Linked DNA regions of Caenorhabditis elegans. The protein of the gene in region 2 purifies or fractionates together with the protein of the main gene of each other region. This does not show direct contact. Each region holds a gene or a part of one and is shown on either strand. Other genes may lie near its edges. The genes, in order: vet-1, rme-1, dbd-8 and cas-1.

Evidence for each region.
Region 1: the proteins of rme-1 (region 2) and vet-1 purify together in Caenorhabditis elegans (affinity purification with western blotting, with the first as the bait; one study listed by BioGRID). This does not show direct contact.
Region 3: the proteins of rme-1 (region 2) and dbd-8 purify together in Caenorhabditis elegans (affinity purification with western blotting, with the first as the bait; one study listed by BioGRID). This does not show direct contact.
Region 4: the proteins of rme-1 (region 2) and cas-1 purify together in Caenorhabditis elegans (affinity purification with western blotting, with the first as the bait; one study listed by BioGRID). This does not show direct contact.

The regions. Positions count from the first base shown.
Region 1 is NC_003279.8:6,200,282-6,203,663, reverse strand, and holds vet-1 (Very Early Transcript), read left to right. Parts: upstream 1-1,587; 5' UTR 1,588-1,597; coding exon 1,598-1,704; intron 1,705-1,789; coding exon 1,790-2,639; 3' UTR 2,640-2,866; downstream 2,867-3,382.
Region 2 is NC_003283.11:6,208,253-6,216,207, forward strand, and holds the start of rme-1 (Dynamin-type G domain-containing protein), read left to right. Parts: upstream 1-1,915; 5' UTR 1,916-2,023; coding exon 2,024-2,218; intron 2,219-2,434; coding exon 2,435-2,900; intron 2,901-3,669; coding exon of another isoform or gene 3,670-3,685; intron 3,686-5,463; exon of another isoform or gene 5,464-5,679; intron 5,680-6,565; exon of another isoform or gene 6,566-6,574; coding exon 6,575-6,757; intron 6,758-6,814; coding exon 6,815-7,154; intron 7,155-7,303; coding exon 7,304-7,955. Other genes in the region: W06H8.2 (NADH:flavin oxidoreductase/NADH oxidase N-terminal domain-containing protein), read left to right, coding at 1-228.
Region 3 is NC_003280.10:13,106,054-13,110,707, forward strand, and holds dbd-8 (DB domain-containing protein), read left to right. Parts: upstream 1-1,965; 5' UTR 1,966-1,969; coding exon 1,970-2,152; intron 2,153-2,202; coding exon 2,203-2,325; intron 2,326-2,369; coding exon 2,370-3,452; intron 3,453-3,499; coding exon 3,500-3,634; intron 3,635-3,685; coding exon 3,686-3,940; 3' UTR 3,941-4,116; downstream 4,117-4,654. Other genes in the region: rict-1 (RICTOR_N domain-containing protein), read right to left, coding at 4,134-4,270.
Region 4 is NC_003284.9:16,806,921-16,814,709, forward strand, and holds cas-1 (C-CAP/cofactor C-like domain-containing protein), read right to left. Parts: upstream 5,789-7,789; 5' UTR 4,997-5,788; coding exon 2,779-4,996; intron 2,679-2,778; coding exon 2,545-2,678; intron 2,407-2,544; coding exon 2,185-2,406; intron 2,091-2,184; coding exon 1,512-2,090; intron 1,448-1,511; coding exon 1,241-1,447; intron 1,030-1,240; coding exon 883-1,029; intron 838-882; coding exon 757-837; 3' UTR 535-756; downstream 1-534. Other genes in the region: Degenerin mec-4, read right to left, coding at 12-194.

The DNA.
Region 1 (3,382 bases), on a different chromosome or scaffold from region 2:
ATACAAAGATTTGACTCATTATCAATTGTCTGATAGTCAGATTTGCATGCCACATTTTGAAATCATATTCTTTTTATTTCTTAAGAAAGAAAAAAAAATTTAAGAACAACATGCAAGTATTTGTGTGTTGAAAACTAGGGTAAATCAAATGGAAGTGTTGGTAATATTGGCAAATGTCTGAATAACTTCTGTATTTAGGAATTACAACAAATATTGGTGGGATTTCGTTTGTATTTTTGGTTTCAATAGATCAATGAAGCTACTTAAGTGAACGATTTAAAATAATTAAATTTCAGCCGAGTGTCATCGTCAGTCTAGAGTACATTTTATGGATTTTAATTTTCACTTTAAGGATAAAGAGGTGCCACAGTTGACAATAAAACGGATTTAATCTGGATATCAATTCATGTTCGGACGCTGCGACCGCCAAATAAATATATTACGTTTTTAATACTTCAATTCAGTCTTTCCTTTGTCTCTTTTTAAATCCTAGTTTGAAGAGCCCCATACATATAAACTTAACTTCCATTAGCTATTTCATGGTTCTATAAATCTAGGGTACCAGTTTTTGTGACCTTATATTTTGGTACCTTCTCAATCTGCCGTTTCAGGGAGAGGGAGACAATAAGCAGACGATCTCATAGAGCCTTTCTGGATATCGATCCAAATCCAGACGCTGTAATGAACTACCTAACATTCACTCTCATTCATGTTGTTCTCAATTCATTCTTCTCATTTTATCCAGGTCCCATTCGGTACGTTTATTTTTTTGTTCTTATTTTGATTGTTTTAATTTTCTGAGATATCCCAGTTGCAGTCCTAGTAAGTAATTGTGTATTTGTATTAATTCCTTTAAAAAATCTTCAACCGAAGACGAAAAGAGAATAGAGCCCTCTATTTCAGAATACTGACATTTCTAGTGTAAATAAAATAGTGTAAAAAAGTATTACTTTGGTTTTTCATGTACCGGATTTTTCCTGATCGTATTGCACGTATATCTGATTTTAAATAGCTTATATGGCCTTCGAGACTGCTAGATTTTCAATTAAAAACTGGAATAGCATATTTATAGCCAAAATTAATTTTTGAAACTTGAAAGTGATAAAATTTTTTTACATCTTTGAATGTTAACATTTTTTTCTTTCTTAAGGTTTGAGTGGGATGAAAGATTGATAAAACCTGCGAGATTTGTATCGATGGTACTGAATTAACAATAGTGGGAGCTAGATTAATTGGAATTGGAAATTTAGTTTCTTTCAACGTTTACAAAATGCCCATTTTAGTATAGCCATAGATTTGGAGTCAACTACATTCTGAATGACTTCTCTCGATCCAATCAATATATTATGTTCTTCGACAGAAGATCACCATACAATGCAACGCTTTTCCAAAATTGTGAATATCGATCCATATTTGGACGCTGTAAATTCTCACCATCGTTCTCTCTCACTGTTTTTTCGATCCAATTACTCATTCTCACCTAACATTCTCAAAAGGTGCATCTTTCCTTTTTTCATTTATTTATTTGCTCTAGTATTTTCTACTGCAGTTTCACTAAACGTTTCTTTTCAATTAAATATTTTTCAGAACTGAAACTATGTTTGCTGAAAATCCATTCTTCACTCCCACCGAGTCCAAGTTGAAATCGGAGATCGCACTTCTTCAAATGAAATTGGATGACGAACGATTTGATCATCAGAAAACGTAAGTTGTTTGAACTCTAGGACAACGTGCAACCTGTTATATAGATTATATTGTACTAACCCATTCTTAATATGTTCAATTTCAGACGACGAGAGCTTGCCAATTCTCGACTTGAGATCTCTGATCTGAAAGGGGAAGCGAAGTGCCATGATTCGGAACTCAATCGTCTCTACACAATAATCAATAATTTGGAAAAGAAGGTTGAAGATTTGAATGGAGAACATCAAAAGTCATTGGAAAAATTGAAAGAACGTCTTCATGAAAAGGATGCTTTTATCGAGGCTTGTGAAGAATTCTATGATGAGAAGAAGATCAATGTGAACAAAATGACATTGATGAAACAAGAAATGGAATTGAAGAGAATCAAAAAGAACTTTGAAGAATACAAGGAAAGAATGACTGAAGTTGAGAAAAATTTGAACGAATTTATCAAAAGACAATCGGCCATTTGTATGGGAGTGAGATATGAATTGAATATGGAAAAGGATTCGAGAGAGAGATATTTCAAAGAAGCTCAACAATTGAAACAAGAGAAAGATGTATTGGTACATGAAATCAATGAAAGAGAAGTCAGAATTTTGTGTCTGAGAAGTGATATTCTTACATTGAAATCTGAAAACAACGACACCTCTAAGGAACTTGATGAAATGAAAAATGGAACCAAAGCTTTGAAACATGAACTTGAAGAGACCAAGAAAATGAAATCCGAAGCCTTGTCGAAATATGAAGAATCTCAAAAAGAGTTCGAACAGTTCAACTTGAAGTTCCAAAGATTGTGCACAAAGTTCTACGAGGAACGTGTCTCTTCTCAGACAACTTCACCTAAAATGAAAGAACATCTGGCATCTGCTAAGAAACGATTGTCTGCTATCAAGGAAACACTCCAAAATGAAGAAGATTTTGATGAAACCGGAGAAGTAACCAATTATCAATAATTTAATATCACCCAATTACTTTTTCCGTGTTAATTTTTCTTCTTTTAGCTACTATCGCTTTTTTAGCATTTTTTCGATTTGATACTATTGCTTTTACTTTACCATTTCCATTGCACTTTTTCGTTTGTTGTAATACGAAACAATACGGCTTAATTTTTCAACGCCTCGGCATTCTTTCAATCCATCTTAAAATGTTACTCTCTTAATTATTCAATAAATGTTTCATTAAATATCGGAATCACTTTTTAACGTGGATTTTTATAACCAAACAGGTGTACGAAAAGTTTACTATCAATTTTAAATAACAGGCAGAATCAGAGAACTTCACATCGAAACACAACATGAAAAGTAAAACACACGACTAGCGATAAAAACTGTTGGAAAAATCAATCAAATTCAAGAGGAATTTGAAAAGTACGTGCTGAAGGTGGTAGATTAGTGAAAGCTATTACAATATTTCCAACAATTGTGGTTTCATCTTCCATGTTCTTTTTTGAGTGAAATCGAGATGAGTTTTTTGAGAGAGTACTCTAGAATCTGTAAAAGTCGATGATGTAGCGAAAAAGTGCAAATATCATTTTTGCATGAAAAACTAAAACTGATTAGATAAGAAATGACAACAATGGTTAATGATGTTGACCTATGCTCTGCTTGTATACCGTGATTAGTGTCTTTGAAATCAATTCCATAAAATAAAATACGTGAGTGTGAGTTCAAATATACCATTAGAAGACAGTTCAGAC
Region 2 (7,955 bases):
TTTGTCCTCTCACTTCTTGCGAGCAACACTCAAATTGAACAAATGGGACGGAACTCGCTGAAAGAAGCAAACAATGATGTCACTTACGGACTCAGTGACTTCAGTGATGAAGATACTGTGAAAAGATTTGGAAAAGCAGTTGAAGAATTCGCCGAACTTTTGAAAATTCAAGCATCTCGAGGTGTCGCAATTCCAAATGTGATCACATTCGAAGGAGTGAAAGCATAAATTATGCATGTTTTTAATCTGTTTTTTTCAAAATAAATTTGTAGCGAGATACATAAATGTAAATAAATTATTGTTGATTTACTTGTTTCATACATCCATCATTTTTCATAAATCTGTCGAAGTTTCAGGTTAGGATTTATTTTCTTGTGTAAGGTGGGGAAATAATCTGGAATTCTTTTAGAAGAAACTGTCAAAAAAACCGTAAACTCGAAATTATTTGATTGAATCATAGAGCCATTCTACGGGAATATTGAATGAAACACAATTGATCAATGCATTGAAAAAATCCAATATTACGTCAATAGGATTTACATAAACAGCGTACAATTGACACTATCATCTACTGAAAAAACGAAGTTAAAACCTTCAAAAGTTTCCATTCACGACTGTCATTATTGTATAAAATGTATAATTTTTTCCGTACTGTTCCACGAGCTAATCGAAATGAAATTACGTTCTATCCAGATTATGAAGGTGAGAAATGACGTAGCTGTGCAAAATTTTTGAAGCTCTAATTTTGTTTGAAAATAATTGAAAGAGTTTTGATAATAGAGTTTTTTCTGAATTTTAACACCTACGCAACTATGATTTTGTCCATAATATTGGGAAAAATGTATACGAAATATGGGAATCCGCATCGATTTTTGTTTTGTTCGTTTGTGTGCCGCTTTTCGGAAGGCAGCCACATTTATGTTCAAACATTGACCGTTTTGTCGACGGGGATATCAAAATTGTTGGATTTCTTATAGTTTGTAGCAATATTTTATTTATTTTTAACAATATTTTGGTTAATTGTTTTTGTATTAATTTTATAATGATTAAGTTTTGGATTGATTCTTCTTGGTTTATCAGAAAGAAAGAAAACATCGTATGTTTGCGCATCCACTCAATTCAATGTTCGCTCACAAATGTGCCCATTTCTGTGCATTTGAAACGAATATTTTTGAACTACATATATAATTACTCGTAGAGCTCATTAAAGTTTTCAAGTGTACCACTTTTGGATATAATTCTTTGGGTGATAAAATTCACCTCGAACATTCAACCTTGGCACAAAAAATTCCTGAATTCACCTGATTTAATTAATTCATATCATTTTTTGTGATTTTTTATTAGGCCACGTTGCACAACTTTTTATGTGTATTGCTTAAGCACAACAAAAAATTTACACATCGTTTTATAATCAACTTTTAAAAATGTTGTTTTTCAGCTTTACATTCTAATCTTTGGTCATCTAAATTAACATTTTTCATTCAATGTGAATCATAATCTCTATTGAATCTCTCTTCTCACACTTGTTACATCCTATTTCATCAGAAAATCAGCTCTTTTCAAATTGAATATTCTCCCGCTTACCTTTAAATGATCTATTAATTTTTGACTCCACTCAAAACCTATGGGATGTCAACTTTGTCGACCAACAGTAACAGACGAAGATATCGATAAAACTCTGGTTATATTCCGTAAGAAAAGCACCAATCCCTTTGAAAAAACTTCTGAGAGATTCTCTTCAACAAACCCATTCGGAGGTGAAATTGGTGAGTCATTTCCTATTTTTAATTCTATTTGTATTTCATCATGTTCTGGAATGTTTCCTCCTGTTATCATTGTTCTCCTTATGCTTTTTTTTCTTTGCAAAGTGAATTGTCGCGAAATAAAAATTGATAACAAAAAAAGTGTGCGAAACTTGTCTCCGCCTCGCTTCTCTTCTTGACAGTTTTTTGCCTCGAAACTTGGAACATTTCATCGACTTTTTACTGGATCATTTCCTATTCCTCTTACAACAAAAGTATCGATGGAGTCTGTGAATAGTGAAGAACACAAAATAAACGAGGCACCCGCGCCACCCGTCATTGTCATTAATAGCTCCACGAAAGAAGAGCAGGAGGCAACACAAACCGACAGAATAGAAGGGCAAATGAAGAAAATCGATTCGGTCTTTGATGAGCAGAATGTAGCGTCATTGGAAGGTGTCAATTCAAAAAATGAGGTGGGTATTTCGTTTTACTTTTGATTAATTTATTTTTGGTATACACAAATTTTCATAATGTTTACATTTTCTCTCCAACCCTGTCACATTTGGTTTTAATTTTGCGTTTTTGCAAAAGGTCGGCTTCCACCAAAATGAAGCAGTAGCAAGAAATTTGTACTGTGCACTTTTAGGATTTTTTTTTCACCACTTTAAATAAATTGTAACGATTTTCAGATTTCCGGATCGGTATCAAGTTCCAGTTTTGAGGAGCTGAACGCAGAGACTGAAGATTTATCAGAAAGAAGTGAAGTCGAAAAAGACGAAGATCTAGGGAGAGTTGTTGAAGAACATAAAGAACCGGCACAAGTTCCAGTAGAATCGGAAACTCCGGAAACTTCTAAAAAAGAAATCCACCAAGAAGAAGAAATCTCTGAACTTGAGAAAGTTCCTGAAACAGTTGAAGAAGAAATTGAAGTCGTCAATACTTCCGTAGAAATTACTGAAGTAAAGAAGGAAGTGATCGAAGAAGTTAAGATCTCAGGCCTCAAAGAAGAAGAAACTCCGGTTCCAAAAATGAGAGCTCAGCAGCAAGTTCCAGTTGCTGCTGACAGGCCAATCAGGCGGCTTTCGATTGCAAGGGCATCTATGATGACCCCAAAAGCATCACCTAAACTTGCAAAGTATATGGAGCCGGTTAGAGGTAGATTTGTAGATTTTTGTTCATATAATGTTTTATGCGTCTACTTTTCTGCACTTTTTTAAACAACTAGTTGGAGTAATGTGGCTATCAAATTTAGTATTTTTCCTGCCAAATCCCAATGTCGATCTGCGATCGCAGTTCGAAAGTTTAAAACAACCTTTCCCTATTAGTATTGCACCCCACTATTTGACTTTGACAGATTATATAGGCAGAGGTTTTTTTCTGAATCTGAAGATGACAGTGCATATCAAAAAACCATTGCATCACTTTTCTTTGTTTTCATTCTGGAAAACGAAAGAACGCTTTTCAAAAGCATTTCCCAATGCCATTCCTTTTCTATTTGGAGTTTCTATCCTGCAGACACTTGCTATTCTTCCCACACAGTTCGATTTTCCATTGATTGAAAAAATTCCTGACAAATGGAACTTCAAACCTTTTTGCTTAAAGAGCTGCACTTTGCATTATTCTTTATCATTGTGAGCATCATTCGTTGACAGGTCACACTGATAAACATTTGGTCAGTGCCAATCAACGCATTTTCATACTCTCGCTATACAACTTTTCTTTCACATCCTCCCAGTACTGGAACACCATGTGCTCTGCTAACTTGTAAATAATTGTGTGCAAACTGTTTTATGTTTGCTCCGTTGAGAGGCAAAAGAGACAAGACCGCCCGTCATAGCGCGAGAACAAAACTTTTATAAGTATTACAAGAATTTTGACGTGACCAACTGATCGGTATCTGTTCTATTTTTTCGGGCATTTCGAAATGAGTAATCTTTTTGGTAAGTATGAACAGAAAATGATCATTTTTAGAAACTCTAACACCTAAATGGATAGCGTCCGAGTTTTTTGGAAAAGTTATAAAATTGATGATCAAGGTAAGGTTTTTAGGTTGTGAAACGGCAGACTTTTCAATCGCGTTATATTTTGATAATCTAGTTATGGCTTTCAAATCCAGAAGTTTCTGATAAAAGAACGAGAAAATCAAAAATTATTTTTAGCTCTACCTTCAAGTTTATATTTTTTGTATTTGACATTATATGATTTTCAATTTCACCTCAATTTCACGAGATATTAATCAAACGCTTGAAAGCTTGAATTTCTTGAAAATTTTCTTGTAAATCATCTCATATTCTCGTTCAAAAGGCAAACGAAACATGGTTTCCAGGTTCTATATGGTGTATTTTTTTCAAACATTTCAAGCTTTCTAGCTCCAACGTTCTATTTATATTTTGAAATTTTGATAAATTCTCCATTTTTTGAAAAATTCACACGGTCTAACGAGCTAATCATCATGCCGCAATCATCGCATCTTTCTTTTTCTTTTCTTCTTTTTTCTCTTCTTTTCGTTTCTTCCATCCCCCTACTCGAACAATTCAATGAAATAACAAATCGGTTACTTTATTTTGATTCAATTCTTTCCTCCTTCTACCAAATCGTCTCAAACATCGTCCGCTTGCGGTTGTCTCATTTTTCTTGATGCATGACCCCTGTGGAATCGATAGTGCACAAGCAGTTGCTAGAGTTCAGTGCTCCGTTGAAAGAGAAAGCGAGAGCATTCACGTTATATAAACTCAAACTAAACTTTTCTCTTCCGGCCTGCTTTCAATTTTATTTCTTCCAAAGAATTTTTGAGTTGGGTCTCTTGATTGATAGTGGTTTAGTTTTTGATTTTGACTACTGTATACCTATAGGTAATGCATTTGAAGTTTGTTATTTCCGGGTGATTTTCTTTAAAGTTTTTGACTTATTGTTAGATAGTTTTTCGGAATTTCAGTTACGATTCACACTCCAAACATGAAAAGTTGAATTAGTTCAACACAACTTTTACCTTTTCAATTTTCTATCTAGTGGAACAGGACACCGATTATACAGAAAATATTGTAGTTAGAGCAATTGAATTGTTATTGTGTTGAAATTGTATTATGTTATTTCTCAAGCAACCTCGTGATTTTACAACAAAATATTTTTATGTCGATTTCTAGTTGGAACGCAGAATACTACTATACGTCATTCTATTGATTGCATATTTTAATTATATTTAGTTACTAATTTCAATTTAATTTGACTAAATCTAACACAATTTGTCCTACTTATTCATCAGTTCCATGAAATTCCAAGCAAATATTGTGGTTTCATATTTACACTGCGACCATTTGATATATGCGCTGGTTTTCCAACAAAAACCATTCACAGCAAGCAATTCCGACAATGCTTTTTTTGTGTGTGTTCTCTTTTTTTCCCCATAAGATCTTTGCAGTTCGGCCGGTGGGTGATGGTGGTCAGTTCGCGTATTATTTTGACTTTTTCGTCTGCGGTCTACTTGGTCCTTAGACTCTCTTGTCTGGCTTTTGCGCAGTCTGTCGGTCGATCTATTTTCTCGATTCGACTACCTGATCCATTTCTAATTTTTCCTCTTTTTCTGTGATTCTTGATTTTTACGCTCTCTCGGCAATTTGTCATGTATAGAACGTCAACTATTGATGTGACCAGATGATTGTACTGTGTTCCCGATTTCATATAATTCATGAGCCTTTTAAGATGAATAAAACATTCCTCAAAGAATATGACTTCAGTCTCAAGCTTCTGATACTACATTGACCAGTTCCTAATGATCTTTAGCATTCTAATCACTCAATTAACATAAATTTTCTCAACCCATCTAATTTCAAAACCAATTGACGGTCTCTAATTGATGTTCTAAATGTTCTAATTTTCTATTGATATTTCCTGTTTGTTTTACGATCCTCCTCCCAGTTAGTGCATCATCATCAATAGGCCGCCACGTCATCTCTGCCCTCTCTGTGTCCATTCGCCTACATCTCTGTTCACACAGTGAATGAACACACTAGTCGTCTGTCAGTATCTGCGTCTCTTACCACATTTCGTGAAAGTCCCACTCTCTCACACCGCCTGATTGTTGGCTGGCGGCTATGATGACTCACTTGGTTTCAGTTCAACACGAGAATAGAGCCCCTATTTCGCAATTTCGATTTCTTTGGGTCTCACTGGGGGATTCTGAATTTAGTCATTCTATAAATTGGCCGGAAAATCTAGAAGAATTTTCAGTTTTTTCGAACTTAGGATGACGAAACTTGTATCACTTCAAGCTCGGTATTTTTCTGTAGATAACTTCTTTTTTTTTTCAGTGTTACATCAATTTAAAATTCAGAATTTATTAGGTTTTCTAACCAAAATATTGAGAATCTTCGTTTTTTTTTTGTTAAAGTAATGTCGTTTACTGTGTTTTTTTTTTTAGTTTTTCAATTCCAGCTGTACATATTTATTCACCACCACCACGGAAATCGAATTTCTGTTGAAAATTTACGTCAGATCTCGATTCATTTTATTTTTCTCAAACAAAAACTATTTTTAATATTAAAAATAACTTTTTATAACAAAAAACGAAAAATGGATGAGAGTAAGTCTAGGCCTGCAACTTTACTTTCTACAGTAACCTTAAGACGCATATACGAAACACATTTTGTTACTCGCTTGTTTTTGTTTTCCTCCCGCGAAATTTCCTTAATTTCTTGAAATATCTCACATGTTCCGTTCAATTTTCCGCCAATTCTCACCTCCTCAACATCTTGGTAAATTTTAAATAAATAAATTTAACATTAGTTTTAATCAAAATCTCATGATTTATTCTTAATTTTATCAGTTTTCAGAAGAAGGACAAAAGAAAAAGAAGACGAGAAGTATGTTTTCGTGGCTTGGTGGTGATTCGTCAAAAAAGAAGAACAAGGAAGTTTTGGAGACGGTTTCCGAAGGTCTCCGCAAGATTTACAAGCAGAAACTCCTGCCTCTTGAAGAATTCCACAAGTTTCACGACTTTCACAGCCCAGCTCTCGGTAATTTGAAATTATTTAGCATATTTATATTTTCAAAATAACGTTCCTTCTTTTCAGATGATCCGGATTTCGATGCCAAACCAATGATCCTGCTCGTCGGGCAATATTCGACCGGAAAAACGACTTTCATCCGTTACCTCCTCGAGTCCGATTTCCCAGGAATCCGAATCGGTCCAGAGCCAACCACCGACAGATTCATTGCTGTGATGCATGGTGATGAAGAAGGAAGCATTCCTGGAAATGCTCTTGTTGTTGACGCAAAGAAGCAGTTCCGTGCTCTGTCAGGATTCGGAAACGCATTTTTGAATCGATTCCAGTGCTCGACTCTTCCAAATCAAGTTCTCGAAAGTGTAACGATCGTTGATACACCTGGAATCTTATCCGGAGAAAAGCAAAGGTTTGTTTTAATTTTTAAATAATCGGAACACTACTTTCAAGGAGTTGTCCCCATTTGATGAAGCTCCAATAACTTATTTGTTTACAAAAACGAATGCTTGTTGGATCGAATTTCCACGATGCAAAAATAAAAATACTTTTTTATTCCAGAATCGATCGCGGATATGATTTCACTGGAGTTTTAGAGTGGTTCGCTGAACGTGTCGATCGTATCATTCTTCTTTTCGATGCTCACAAGCTTGACATTTCCGATGAGTTCAAGAGATGTATTGAAGCATTGGCTGGAAACGAGGATAAAATACGAATTGTTCTCAACAAGTCAGACATGGTTGATCATCAACAGTTGATGAGAGTCTACGGAGCTCTGATGTGGTCACTGGGAAAAGTATTCAAAACTCCAGAAGTTTCACGTGTCTATTTGGGATCATTCTGGGATCATCCACTTCACTACGATCTCAATCGTCGACTTTTCCAAGACGAGCAGCACGACCTGTTCCAAGATCTTCAAGCATTGCCACGTAACGCTGCTCTCCGAAAGTTGAACGATCTGATCAAGAGAGCTCGTCTCGCCAAGGTTCACGCATACATTATTGCTGAGCTTCGTAAGCAAATGCCATCGATGATCGGAAAGGATAAGAAGAAGAAGGATTTGATCCAAAATCTTGACAAGATCTACGAGCAACTCCAGAGAGAACACAATATATCTCCAGGAGACTTCCCAGATGTGAACAAGATGAGAGAGAAGCTTCAAACACAGGACTTTAGCAAATTCAATCCACTCAAGCCAAAGCTTTTGGAGGTT
Region 3 (4,654 bases), on a different chromosome or scaffold from region 2:
TATACATCCTTTTTCTTCACTGCTTCTCACCACAGGGATCCTCGGTTTCCGATCGAATAAACAGACGACACAGAGTGCTATGTGCATTGAGACGCGTGACAAGGCGGTGAATGACCCATTTAGCTTTCAGTTCGTTCACTGGTTTGTGAAACTGTTCATTTAATTCTTTCTTCCGAATCGCCTTACCCGTGGCCAATCAAAGCAGCGTGTCGAAATCTCGAAATCCAATCTTATAATAATTGGCCTTATCGTTTTTAGTTTCGCCTTCTTATACGCTAATAATTTCTCCAAGGCAGGTTTTTGTGTGTTGCCTTCACGCTTTCCCCGCCGACTATCCCGATTCACGGAGAGATCTCTAATTTCTGGAATTATGCAACAATAACATATGCGATGAATTGGCGGCAACGACGACGACGACGACGAAAAAAGAAGAAGCAGAAACGAAAAGGCAAAGAAGGAGGCGTGTTTCAATCCAAAAAGACACACACACACACACGGCTAAATGACATATAACATTGCGCAAAAAGCCGAGTCATACCATAGTTTTCTTCCCGATCCCCTCTTGCCATTTATTGCAGGAACATCTAGTTACCTACATTTTTCCTTCATTTTTTAGTAGAAATTACAAAGTTAGCATCTTTAGATATCTATAATTTCTCAATTTCTTTCTCATCTCATCTTACCAGGAAAGATTGTTAGAAACACTAGAGAATGTCTGGATTTGGAGCTTCTATCATGTCTAACGATACATTCGAAGTACCGAAAATCAGAATTTTCCTGAAATGTTTTGAAATGAAAAATCTCAATTTTGGCAGGCCTCAACAAAACTATTTCGAAAAACCAACAAGCTACAGTAACCCTGACAGCTAAGACCTCCAATTTAACTTCACCAAGATTCACCTTCTTAATAAATCCTCTAGATTCCAAGATATTCCGTGTTTGTGTATACACATCTTCAAGTATATCGTTATATTCCATACATACCACACAAAAATGATCAATCAGGGAGGCATCAGAATCAATCTGGATGACTCGGAACGAGTTTCTGGCTATTCTCTCTCTCGCTCGGTCATCTCCTATTCTCCTTTTTTTGGCGATTGATTCTATTTTGTCTTCGATTCCCTTGATTCCCTTCGGCGGGGGCTTCTCGTAGTCCTCAACAGGTTATCAATGCCATTCGAATATATCCTATTACAATCTCTTTTCCCCCCTTTCCGGATTCGGTAATTTTTTGAACTTCCGTTTGACGTGCAGAATGTGATAAGAAAATATACATATGTAATTTTGTAGATACTAGAACAGTATTGTAATTTCTAGTTGTGCTGTTACTACTAAATAGCACTTCCATGTAGAATGTTCTTTCTTATTCAAAAGTAACTGACTAATTCCCAAATAAATCCTTCCTGCCGTTCTCCAATATGTCGCAATACTAGCCTTCGATCATCCGTCTAAATCTCCTCTCGGATAATTAAAAAGTGTTTCGTCACCGTTTCGCCTTGTAGCTGTCCGTAGCTGGTGGTCAGTCGGGCGCGCACCTCAAGAAGAGAAGAAGCAAGAAAAAGAAGGGAGAGAGAGAGAGAATAAGCTTGCCCATAAGAAGCCGGTTATTCGACGCGATCGGCGTCATCGCGAACGAGGCGAGGCATCTCTATGTATGTGAGGAGGGGAGAGGCTAGTCGCCGACCTCAAGATGGTGAAGCAAACATAGACGACCGCTTCATCTTTATCCAATCCACAATGTTCGCTGTTTGTTCAACATTCCGCAGCCGCTTCTTCTCCGGACCCGCGCGCTCCGTTCCCAAAGCCATTTATCCGGGAATCGAGTAGATGTGTCGGGAGAGACACCGCAATGTAGATTTCCTCCGTTTCAATCGCCTTCAAATAACTTTCACCTCCTTCTGAATTCTTTTCACTTTATTTTCCCTTCGACCCTTTTGACCGAATCAACTTTTTGAAACGTTTCAGACCGATGGCAATGTCGGTTTCGACGATACGTGCCATTTGTATTTTGCTGCTTCTATCAACGTATACATTGGCAGATCTTCCGTCATGTGCTCGTGCCAAATGTGTTCATTGTGCAGTTGACTTCATCGATAGAATGTGTCCAACAGCTTGTGCTGGATGCAAGACACAGCAGCACCAATCTATTCAGGTAGGGATTTTGGGTTACATTTTGCTTGAATTCGAATTCTGACATTTCAGGAAGTAAATGTACAGAGACCACCTCAGCCACCACCAGCGTTCAATAATCAGCCACAGTTCGCACAATCAGTGAATACTCGCCAGATCTCAAACGAGGGAGGGCCACAGGTTCAGAGACCACAGGTGGGATTTTGAATTGAAAAAAAAATTTATTAAAAAGTATTTAGGTTCAGCACCAGCAACAATTCCAGCAACAGGTTCAGGCTCAACATCAACAACAACAGCCACAATTCAACATCCCACTGCAGCCACATGCTCAGCCAGTTCAATTCGCTGCTCCAAACTATCAAGGAAACCAGATCCCGTACCCACAAGCACAGGCTCCAGCTCAAATTCAAACCGCCACTCTTGCTCCACTAGTCGAGGCACCAAAGGTCGCATCTTTCGATCCAAACTTGAGCCGTCAACCAGCCGATTTGGCACAGCCACTTCCAGAATACCAAACCGGGCAAGTACAGTACCCACAACAAGCCGCTCAAATTCCATTCGGCCAACAGCCACAGCAAGGATATGGGCAACAAGTTGATAATATTTTCAACCAACCGAATCCATTCCAACTCCCGACTCCACAACAAGGACAAGGACTATTCGGAGCTCCAGGAGCCGCTGGAGCCGCTGGAGCACAATCACAATCGCAGGCTGCAGCTTTCAATCCATTCCAACAATTCTTGCAGCCAAATGCAGCACTCGATCCATTCAACCTTTTCAACTTGAACGCTAATCCATTGACTGTTAACCAGCAAGGCATCAGCACTCTTCAGACCCAGCAGCAGCAATACGGACAGGTACAGCATCAGGGAAATTACAACAGTCAAAATTATAACCAACAACAACCGCAGCAACCACAAATCCCGCAACTTCCACAACAACAGCAGCAGTACAATCAGCAATACAATCAGCAGTTCAACCCACCATATCAGCAGTTCCAACAACCACAACAGCAGCAGTACAACCAACAGCAGCAGCAGCAGACACCACAACAAAACCAATACAATCAACAGCAACAATACGGACAGCAGCCACAGCAGCCCCAACAACCACACCAACAGCAGTACCAGAATCAGAACAACTATCTGCCACAGCCGCAGCAACCACAACTCCCAGTTGCTCCACAACAACAGGTACAGCAGCAACGTCCACAGCAGCCACTACCACAGCCAGCCGCTGCAGCTTCAGTTGACTCTAGACCAGTCAACTTTGAGAAGTATATCGATGCAGGAAAGGGAACTCCACTTGCTCCACCACCACAGGTAAAATATTTCCGCAATTGTGATCAGCTTAATATTTGTTCATTCAGGCCCAATGTCCACGCCAACCAGGATGGCAGCCATGCATCACTAAGGACACCGCCAATGATCGATTCCGCAACTGCTGTTCTCGTCTCGGAGAGGGATGTGCTCCACTTTGTAACTACGATGCTACCCTTGCTACTGTATGTCTCTATAATGATTTTTTTGCTATCTAGAACTGTTTTCCATTTCAGATGCAACTCGCTGTTCTCACTGGACGCTGTCCATTGGCTAAGGTCGGAGACGTGATGATCTGCGCTTCGGGCTACCAAGACGCATCCCAGTGTTGCGAGGCTTACGGAGTCTTCGAGCCAGGATACGAGCACTGCCGTCCATACTGTAACCCATCGGCCGGTCTTCCAGAAGGCGGACTTCTTACCGAGAAGTACAAGTGTCTCGTCAAACTGTCACACATTCAACAATGCTTCTTCGTCTCGCAGAAGCCATAAGGTGTCAACGGGTGATCCATATGTATTGCAATTTAAACCACATCAATAATAATAATTTTTCTCTCTTCTCACTCATTCCCTCATCTACAACTTTCCTGAATTCGTGCAATAGATTTCAAAAATTCAATTCTAAAATGTGGCACAGTGTGCCATCACAATAAATGATTTTAAATATTAAGAGAAAGAAGCTTACATGTGCAAAACTCCAGCATTCGTCAAAATCGATAATCCTTTACTCGTCATTGTGAACGTTCCGATTATGGCGAAATGAAGCATCGAGTTGGTGTAGGAAAGGTTGCGAGCAGCAAAGTAGGCATTCGGATTGGATCTCTGAAATATATTACACATTTTATAAATATATTTTAATAAATGTCTTCTATATTTTTGCAATCCTACGGCACGATGTCGATGGACAATTTTTAAAATTGGATATGTTTCAAGTAAAAATCGATGAATTAATTGTTGCAAAACAACAAATTAATAAAAAATAACATAAAAAATAAGAAATATTTTGTTACGTTTGAATGTTAGATACAAAAATAATCCGCAAAAATAGTCTCAAACCAGCGATTTCAGCTTTAAAAAACTGTAAAATCCCGCTTGTCCGTGTGTAGTACAAAACGCTTTGTAAATCGACATGTAAAAATCCTGATTTTGTACTACACGTGGAAAGCCGAAAACTTATTTTCTTCTCGCATGATTCTACATGATTCT
Region 4 (7,789 bases), on a different chromosome or scaffold from region 2:
CGTAAACTCACTTGTACTTCTGATTCTGTAGAGTTGAAACATTCGCCATAACCAAAATCTTCATAATATTCTCTTTCTGTCACAAATTTAGTCGTCTCTTGTAAGTACGCTAACGGGTCTCCATAAACCTGGGACATGTACTCGGATGGGTCCCGAAGGTGTTGGTAGTTTTTCAGGTTTTGCATCCATGACATTCTATAACTTGATAGCGATAAAAAAAATAGCATTAGCAAACTGATACTCTAAGAAAAATGAAGGAGGGGTAGTCGCTGACGACAATGATCTTGCTCATGTCTTCACATGGTTCCATTACATTATAAATGTATAGAATAGTAGATTGTTTCATACTTGTAGAATGAGAAGAAAGCTGATGGTTTTGAGGCAAGATAAGATCCATGAAAGTGTGTTGAAATGTGCCTGGTGTTTGAGATGTTCTGGTGAGGGTGGAAATGTATTTGAACATTCTGGAATTTTTTTTACACTACATTCGGTGCAATTGTTCTACGATCACAAACCTTCAAACATGAATAACTATTTTTTGGAAGGGATCACTTTTATTCGACGAGACAGTAAAAAGTAATTTTTTCAATAAAAATAGTTGAGCACCAGTCAATGCATATACAAAACAAAATCGGTATTATTTAATAAAGCAAAGTGTGTCTCAATTGCTTATAAAGAATTGTAGACAGGGACAAATAAAAAAGTTCGAGGGGATAGTTCATGAAGTTGAAAAATAAGGTTATGACGTGAGAAGATTTAGCAAATGTCCGAGACGACAGTGACTAGCTTGCCATTGACAAAAGTTGTCTTGAACTGCTCCGGAACCGGGAACTCCGACTGAAAAGGAAATTTAGATTGGGTTCTACAATCCGAAAAACTTACATAATCCCCATCATCATTGGTTTGCACGGAGATGTTCATCTCACTGGATTTGGAAGTGACAATCTCGCATCCTTGAGCCACCTTTGACAAGTACACCTGGCATCCATCAGTCTTCTGGATTGAAAGAGTTGGGAGCTCTCCAAGGGTCTAAAAATTAATAACAATAATAGATTCAGTGAATTTCGAAGCATATAGTTGACTGAACTTTATTAGTAATTTGGAAGATTTTAACGATTAAAACCAAATATTTATTTTCACATTTTTTATTTAGAAACTAATTTTATGTTCAGACGGAAAAAAAATAGTATTGTATTTGAGCTTGTATTGAAGCTTGTACAACTAAAAGTCTTCTGATTACCTGAATTTGCACAGATTGGCAGTTGACAGTTTCGCACTGAGCCACAAGGGCATCAAACACAACAGACGTTTTCTTGCACCCGTCCAAAGTAATAGAATTGGCCTTTCCGTTGACCTTAATCACAGAATTCTCACAACGGTAGATATAGACAGTCTGCTTCTTATCGGCAACATCGAGAACAATGTTTGGATCGTTGACAAAGTACTCCTGTAAATAGTTTTTCATTGATAATGCTTATTGAATATGTTTTTCAAGTTGTTGAAACACTTACCACAATCCATTGTTTTCCGTTTTCCAGCTCCTTGTGTGGTGGCTTCCTTACTGGAGCAGCTGGTTTGGCAGGAGATGAGCCGCCCTGAGAAGCACCAGCGGCTGGCACAACAGCGGTTCCTCGGAGGTTTGGGTTCTTGTGAGTCTGCATATCGGCCGTGACCTTCTTCAGTCTAGAAGTAACTCCCTCTCCCTGGTTCAACGAAGCAAAGAGAGCATCACGGCTTGCCTTGTCAGCATCTACTGGTGGCGGAGCAATGTTGGCGAAGAAGTCGGCTGGTGGTGGTGGAGGTGGTGGGGGTGGTCCTCCTGGACCTGCTGGAGCTTTTGGAGCTGATGGAGCAGCGGCAGATGGAGCAGAGGCAGAAGCATCAGGGGCGGCTCCTGGAGCGCTGTTCCAGACTAGACCAGTAGTGTGAACTTGACGAACAAACTTCTGCATCTCTTCAAATACAGCCTTCCAAGCCTTGGTCCACTCAACGTGTCTTGGATCGGTCTCCTTGAACTCGCGGAGAATTGGGTTGATGTAGAATTGAGCAGCCTCAATGAACTCCTTCACGTATGGAGCTGGGGTTTTCTTCTGAAATTAGAAGCAGTTTAGAAAATATGTATGTTAAGATTATCGAATCTTGAGCACAGTAATATTTTATTTCAACTTTTGAATGTTAACATACCACGGTCACCCATCCAAGAGCCGGAAGTGCTTCAGCCACCGAATTGAGATGGTTCCAGTGAGGGGTCTTTCTCTTCGTGTCCTTGAAATTGTTGATTTCACCAAGCAAGTTAATAACTGGAGTGAGCATCTTCTGAGCTTCCTCGGCCGATGGCTCCGATTTTCCAGCAGCAGACCATAAATAGTTGCGCATACTGGCAAACATAGCCAACACTTTTGGCTTCTGAAATATTTGTTTTACGATGTTAAACTCTTATTCTATGTTGGGTAATTTGGATAAAGATAAGGAATTATAATAGATTAGTGCAATTTTTTATTTATTTTTGTTTTAATCAATACAAAACATCATTTGAACACTCACCACAGCAGCAAGATCGCCGCCGAGTTGATCTGTCAACTTGCTCCAATTGGCCAGTGGCTCCTCGATGGCATCATCGTAAGCACGAACATGAGCTGGGACTTCTCCAGAGTCACCGGCAGAAGCGGCAGCAGACGCTGAAAACATTAACTTTATTTTAATTAATTCAAAAGTATCGAACCGGTTTGCTTATTTCTAGAATTTTTAGTTTTGAATTTACAATTTACTAAGTTTTACCTTTATTCTGATCTATAAATACAACTTTCTTTGAAGAACTCCGATGAAGTGACGGATTTTTGATAAGAATCCCGTGCAAATTGTCGCCGTATAAGTTTCTGTGTCGTCCCGTTTTTTCATTGTCTCGTAGATACCTCGGAAGCGCACGACGTGCCATTTCCTCAATATCCAGATCACTGTCGTTATCGTTGTCGTAGTTCGAATTTGGTGAAAAAGTTGAAGTCGGTGAAAACGTTGGGTTTGAGTAGTGAGATGTTGGTTTCACCGAATGTACATTATTATTCCCGTTGCTATGCCCGTGACCATGTCCGAAATGAGGTTTGTTGTATGGCATCGGGTCGGATGGCATGTGAACATTGATATTCGGCTCAATGATAGCCACTGGTGGTTGAGACGAGTCACGTCGATTTCTCGAATCGAAATCATCGGTGTGACTATTATACGTGTGACGGTTACTCGTGAAGCCATTAATTACAGTTGGACCCGATCGATTAAACACTTTTGACTCAACTGGACTGAAAATTCGCTCTGGATTCTGATTTTGATTCTGCGCCTGTGGCGGATGATATGGTTGAGGGGCAACCTCACGAATTGGGGAAGTGAGTCTGGCGAAATCACGAAGTGGTGATTGAATCCTAGCACGTTGAGATTGTTGAATGGGCTGATGTGGCTGGGGATAATGGGGCTCTTCGGGCATTTGATGATGATGATATTGGTCTTGTACCTGCTGATGAGGATGAATCCGGAGTACACGATCATTTGTCAATTTTATTGGTTCATTAGGGAACGCTGCCGAATTACGATTCGACTCCAAATACTGACTGGTTGGCCGCTCTTTCTCTCGGAAATTTACCGCTGCTGCGGCTGGAACATTCTGGTAGACATTTGTTGTTGCTTCTTTCGGCGCTTGTGCCACTCGCCGGTCTTGATACCCGCCTGTTGATACTCTTGATGAATGATCTTCTTGGTTATAGTTGACTTGATTTATCGGGTTTGGGAACGAAAAAGGATTCGATTGTTGGGCATATGAGATGATTGGAGGCGATCTTACAGGGCTCGGATCTCGTTGTTGCATGAAATTGGACGAAGAGCGTTGATACCGAGGATTAGGCTGTTCCTGAGTCGGTTCATCGTTGTGATAGCTCCGAAAGTTGGGTTGCTCAGACACCAAGGAATTACCTCTAGGCTCACGATAAGTAGGCTCTAACCGAAAGCGTTCAAAATCCGAGTTCAAATTTGAATTGAGAGGTGCATTTCTGATAATGTAATCCTCCCGGAACGATTTTGGCGGTGGTGGGTCAGTCATCCAGTTTGGCTCAATCACTCGGTTTCGGAAAAATCCATCCAATCGATGACCTTGATTACCATTCGTGCTTGCCGTGTAGTTATTAATAGAATTATGAAGTTGACCAGAGCTATTATTATGACTATCAACAGTAGAATGATTGAGGAAGGTGTTACTTGGAGTATGATTTGAGGTGTTATTGAAATAAGTGTTGTTGAGAGAGTCAAACGACAAATCCGATTGGGTTTTTGCTAATCGTCTTGGCGGATGGTGATCCGATGAATTAGAATTATAGTGTTGTGGAGACGGAAGAGTGCCAAAATCTGTCTGACGAGACGACTGATCCCCTGCATACCAGCTCGAAGACATATTGTGTGCTTCGGCTTTCTGACGTTGCAGATTTCTCAAAAAATCTGTTTCTCGTTGGGAAGGCGACGGATGCGTCGGCTGCTTGTATGATTGGGGTGGTGGCACATTGTCATAACCTCGGGGTGGAGCATCTTGAAATGCTGGAACTGGACTTTGGACACTTCGATGACCGTACATACTTGCTGGTTGAGGATTGTTACAGTACTCACTGGCCACTGACAAAGGAGATAGCTCACGTGGAGAGAAGTTATTGTCGAATAGAGTAGAATTGCTTTCCGATCGTATTGGCCGACGAGATCTTGGAGGTTCTTCAGCTGTCCAATAATTAGTATTGCGGTCGACAGGGGATGTTGGAGAAACGGGCGAAACGCATGAGGATGGAAAATGTGGAAGGGTCGCTGACCGCTGGTCAATGACAACTTGTTGAGGGAACGACGACCAACTGCTTGACGGACGTAGTCCGCCTCCGAAACTTCTCAAATCTTGGGTACTATCGGTTACCGGTCTGTAGCCACGTGGATACTTGTTGAAGGGTCTGGGAGCCGAGTAATAAAGTGAATCCATAGTGGAAGTGGGGGGAGACGAGGAGAAATAAAATTGCAATGCAAAAAAAAAATGAAGAGAGTATGCTAGAACATTAAGGTGTTTGGGGATGAATGTGCGGATGAGAAATGGGTAAAAGAAGAAATATTGTTAAGATTCGAGGGCACAAGAAGAATGACGGCTGGTGGGTGAGTTGCCGGTGAGGGGAAAGCCTAGAAACAGGACGAGGACGCAGAGGTTAGACGGGTGAGGAAACACGGACGAGTAAAGGCTGAAGCACAAAAGCAACTGTTGAACGGGGCTCCCGGGTCCGCGTCGACTGAAGTGAAAAGATGGAAAGAGCATGCGAGCTGTTGAGAGACAAGTCCCCACCGGGATGAACAGAAAAATGACTTCCCTCTCACTCTCGCACACACTCGTTTGCTGTAAAACACTTTGCGAAGAGATGCGGATTGACGGTTCTTCTTCTGGCGCCAGAGGGAGGATAAGAATTGATAACTTGTGCACTGCAAGTCAAGCTGGCGTCCACAACACGAACTGGTCCAAGCAAGTACCATCGGACACGGGGGTTCAACCACATTAAATATGTGTGCTTCATTATCATTAGAACATCCGGTTATGTGAAGTGACGGCCTAGAAGTCAGCTATAGGAACACTTTCTAATGAGGTATAGACTTATTTTTAATAGAAGGTAGACAAGCATTGCCTGACAAAGTTGGCAGAAACAACATACTTTATAAAACTAAAGCTTATGATTTTAAAATTACCAAGCCAGTTTTTATTTGAAAAAAATGTCAAAAGCTTAGCAAAAAACAGACAGATATGTTTTGAAACCTCTACTGTGGAATTGCACGCTGCGGTTCTCAACTTCTCATCTTACTTTTTTCAAAACAAAAATATTGACAACCCGATTTTTCAGGTACACAAAATCTAGAAAGCTCCGAGGGACCAATGATCAGGTATTTTGACTAGCGGAAACAAATCTGTGAAGAGTGCGAACTATAGGGAGCTATTCTAATCTGTATAAAGATTACTATTATACATAAAAACTTGTAGATTACAAGGTTGTAGATTACTTTTTAGCAAATCCTAGAATTTTCGAAATTGAAATGCATTTCAGGGTCTATTCAGAAAATTCAAAGTGTACTAATTTCAGAATGATAGATTACTGCTGAGCACTGAGAATTTTTCAGTACACTATTATTATTATTGTGAAAAAAATCTTATTACTAATATTATTTCATTAATTGGTAGGCCGCAACGAGACAGACAAACAGGAAGCGGTAGCCAAACTGACGGTAGCTGTAAATGTCAACGGTCACAAAACTCACATATGATGCGAATAGGAATGTTCCTGACTCTACCCGCCGTAGAATATGCACCAGCAGCAGAAACAAATTCGTTTGTGACTTCCTGATAGGTCACGTGTAACTTCATGATAATACCAAAAGCGGGGGGTATAGATGTGGGAAGAAAGGCAGAATGAACACACACAAACACACACACCAACGTTTCCCATTTGTCGATGTTAGTCATAAGTTTTTGAGTAAACAGTTCGGTTTTTGATTATTTTATTCTTATTATTATAACACACTTTCTTCTCAGAGAAAGGTTGTCTGGTATTTGATCAATTAACTCACCACTTGGTCCGCCCAAATTGGTAGGCTTCGGAGCCAATGCTGGTTTCTGCCCGGCAATCGCTTCCAAACGGCTAGTCACGCTCTCGAGACGCTTCAAAAAATCCTCTTGTGTTGACATGTCCTGGAAATTGACATTATGAAATTTAAGAACAATTGTAATCAAAAATATGTAGAAAACCTTATCATTCGATGAGAAACAGAGCAAGTTCATAGTAAGAAAGAGCAGGTGAGAGAGACAGAATCGATAGGAACCGGCAAAAGTACGAGTTACTTATAATTCCTTCGAATACAGAGGTATCCGATTTCCGATGCATTTTAAATTCGCAAATTTGCCATTTCCGAGAGCAAGCGGAATGAGAGTAAAGGAGAATTTGTTCCATTTTTTGTTTGAAATTAATGAATTGGTAGTTTTTCTTTTCTTTTGGTTCAAAAAGCGAAAAATAACCGCGAACAAAGAAAAAAAATAAATGGCGGCCCGATTTCGCAATAATTTCAAAACATCGAACAGAGAAAAGGCGATTGTCAGCAGAAAACAAGAGGAAAATGAATGGAAATCATAAAGAAATTGAGAAAAAAGTGATGAGTCACCGGGATGTGTTGCGCGGACCGCCTTGCACAGTAAATGACAACTGCCGCCATCTTCCGTTCTCATTAGAGCGCGCTTGCTGTACACCTCCCGCCGATCCGTTCCGTTGCGCAGTGTAAACAAAGATGGGATGCGAATTGGTAGAAAATGTGATGGATTTTGGGAGAGATTTTCTAGAAAACTGTAAAAAAATTCTGGTCTTTTGGAAACTTTTGGAATTGGAAACATTTAATTTAAAAGTTTGGGAAAATTAAATGATATTTTAAATTTCAATGTTCAAATTGGACGGGCTCTCATGAAACTTTCGAAAAACTAAATGACGTATACGAATGTTTACTTATTTATCCAAAATACAATTTTTGTATAATGTCTACAAATTTTAACATTATCTCATGATTGTTATAGTGGTACTTTTTAAAATCAGATTGAAAATTCACCAATCATGATAGCATTAATTTCAAAAAAATTGGCAACACGTCTTGCTCATTTTTATTATTAACTGGATTTAAAATAAAATGAAAACACGTGATAAAAAAGGAGCACGCTTTGAAAAATACAAATTTGTCCAAATTCGCTGGTAAATGTGAA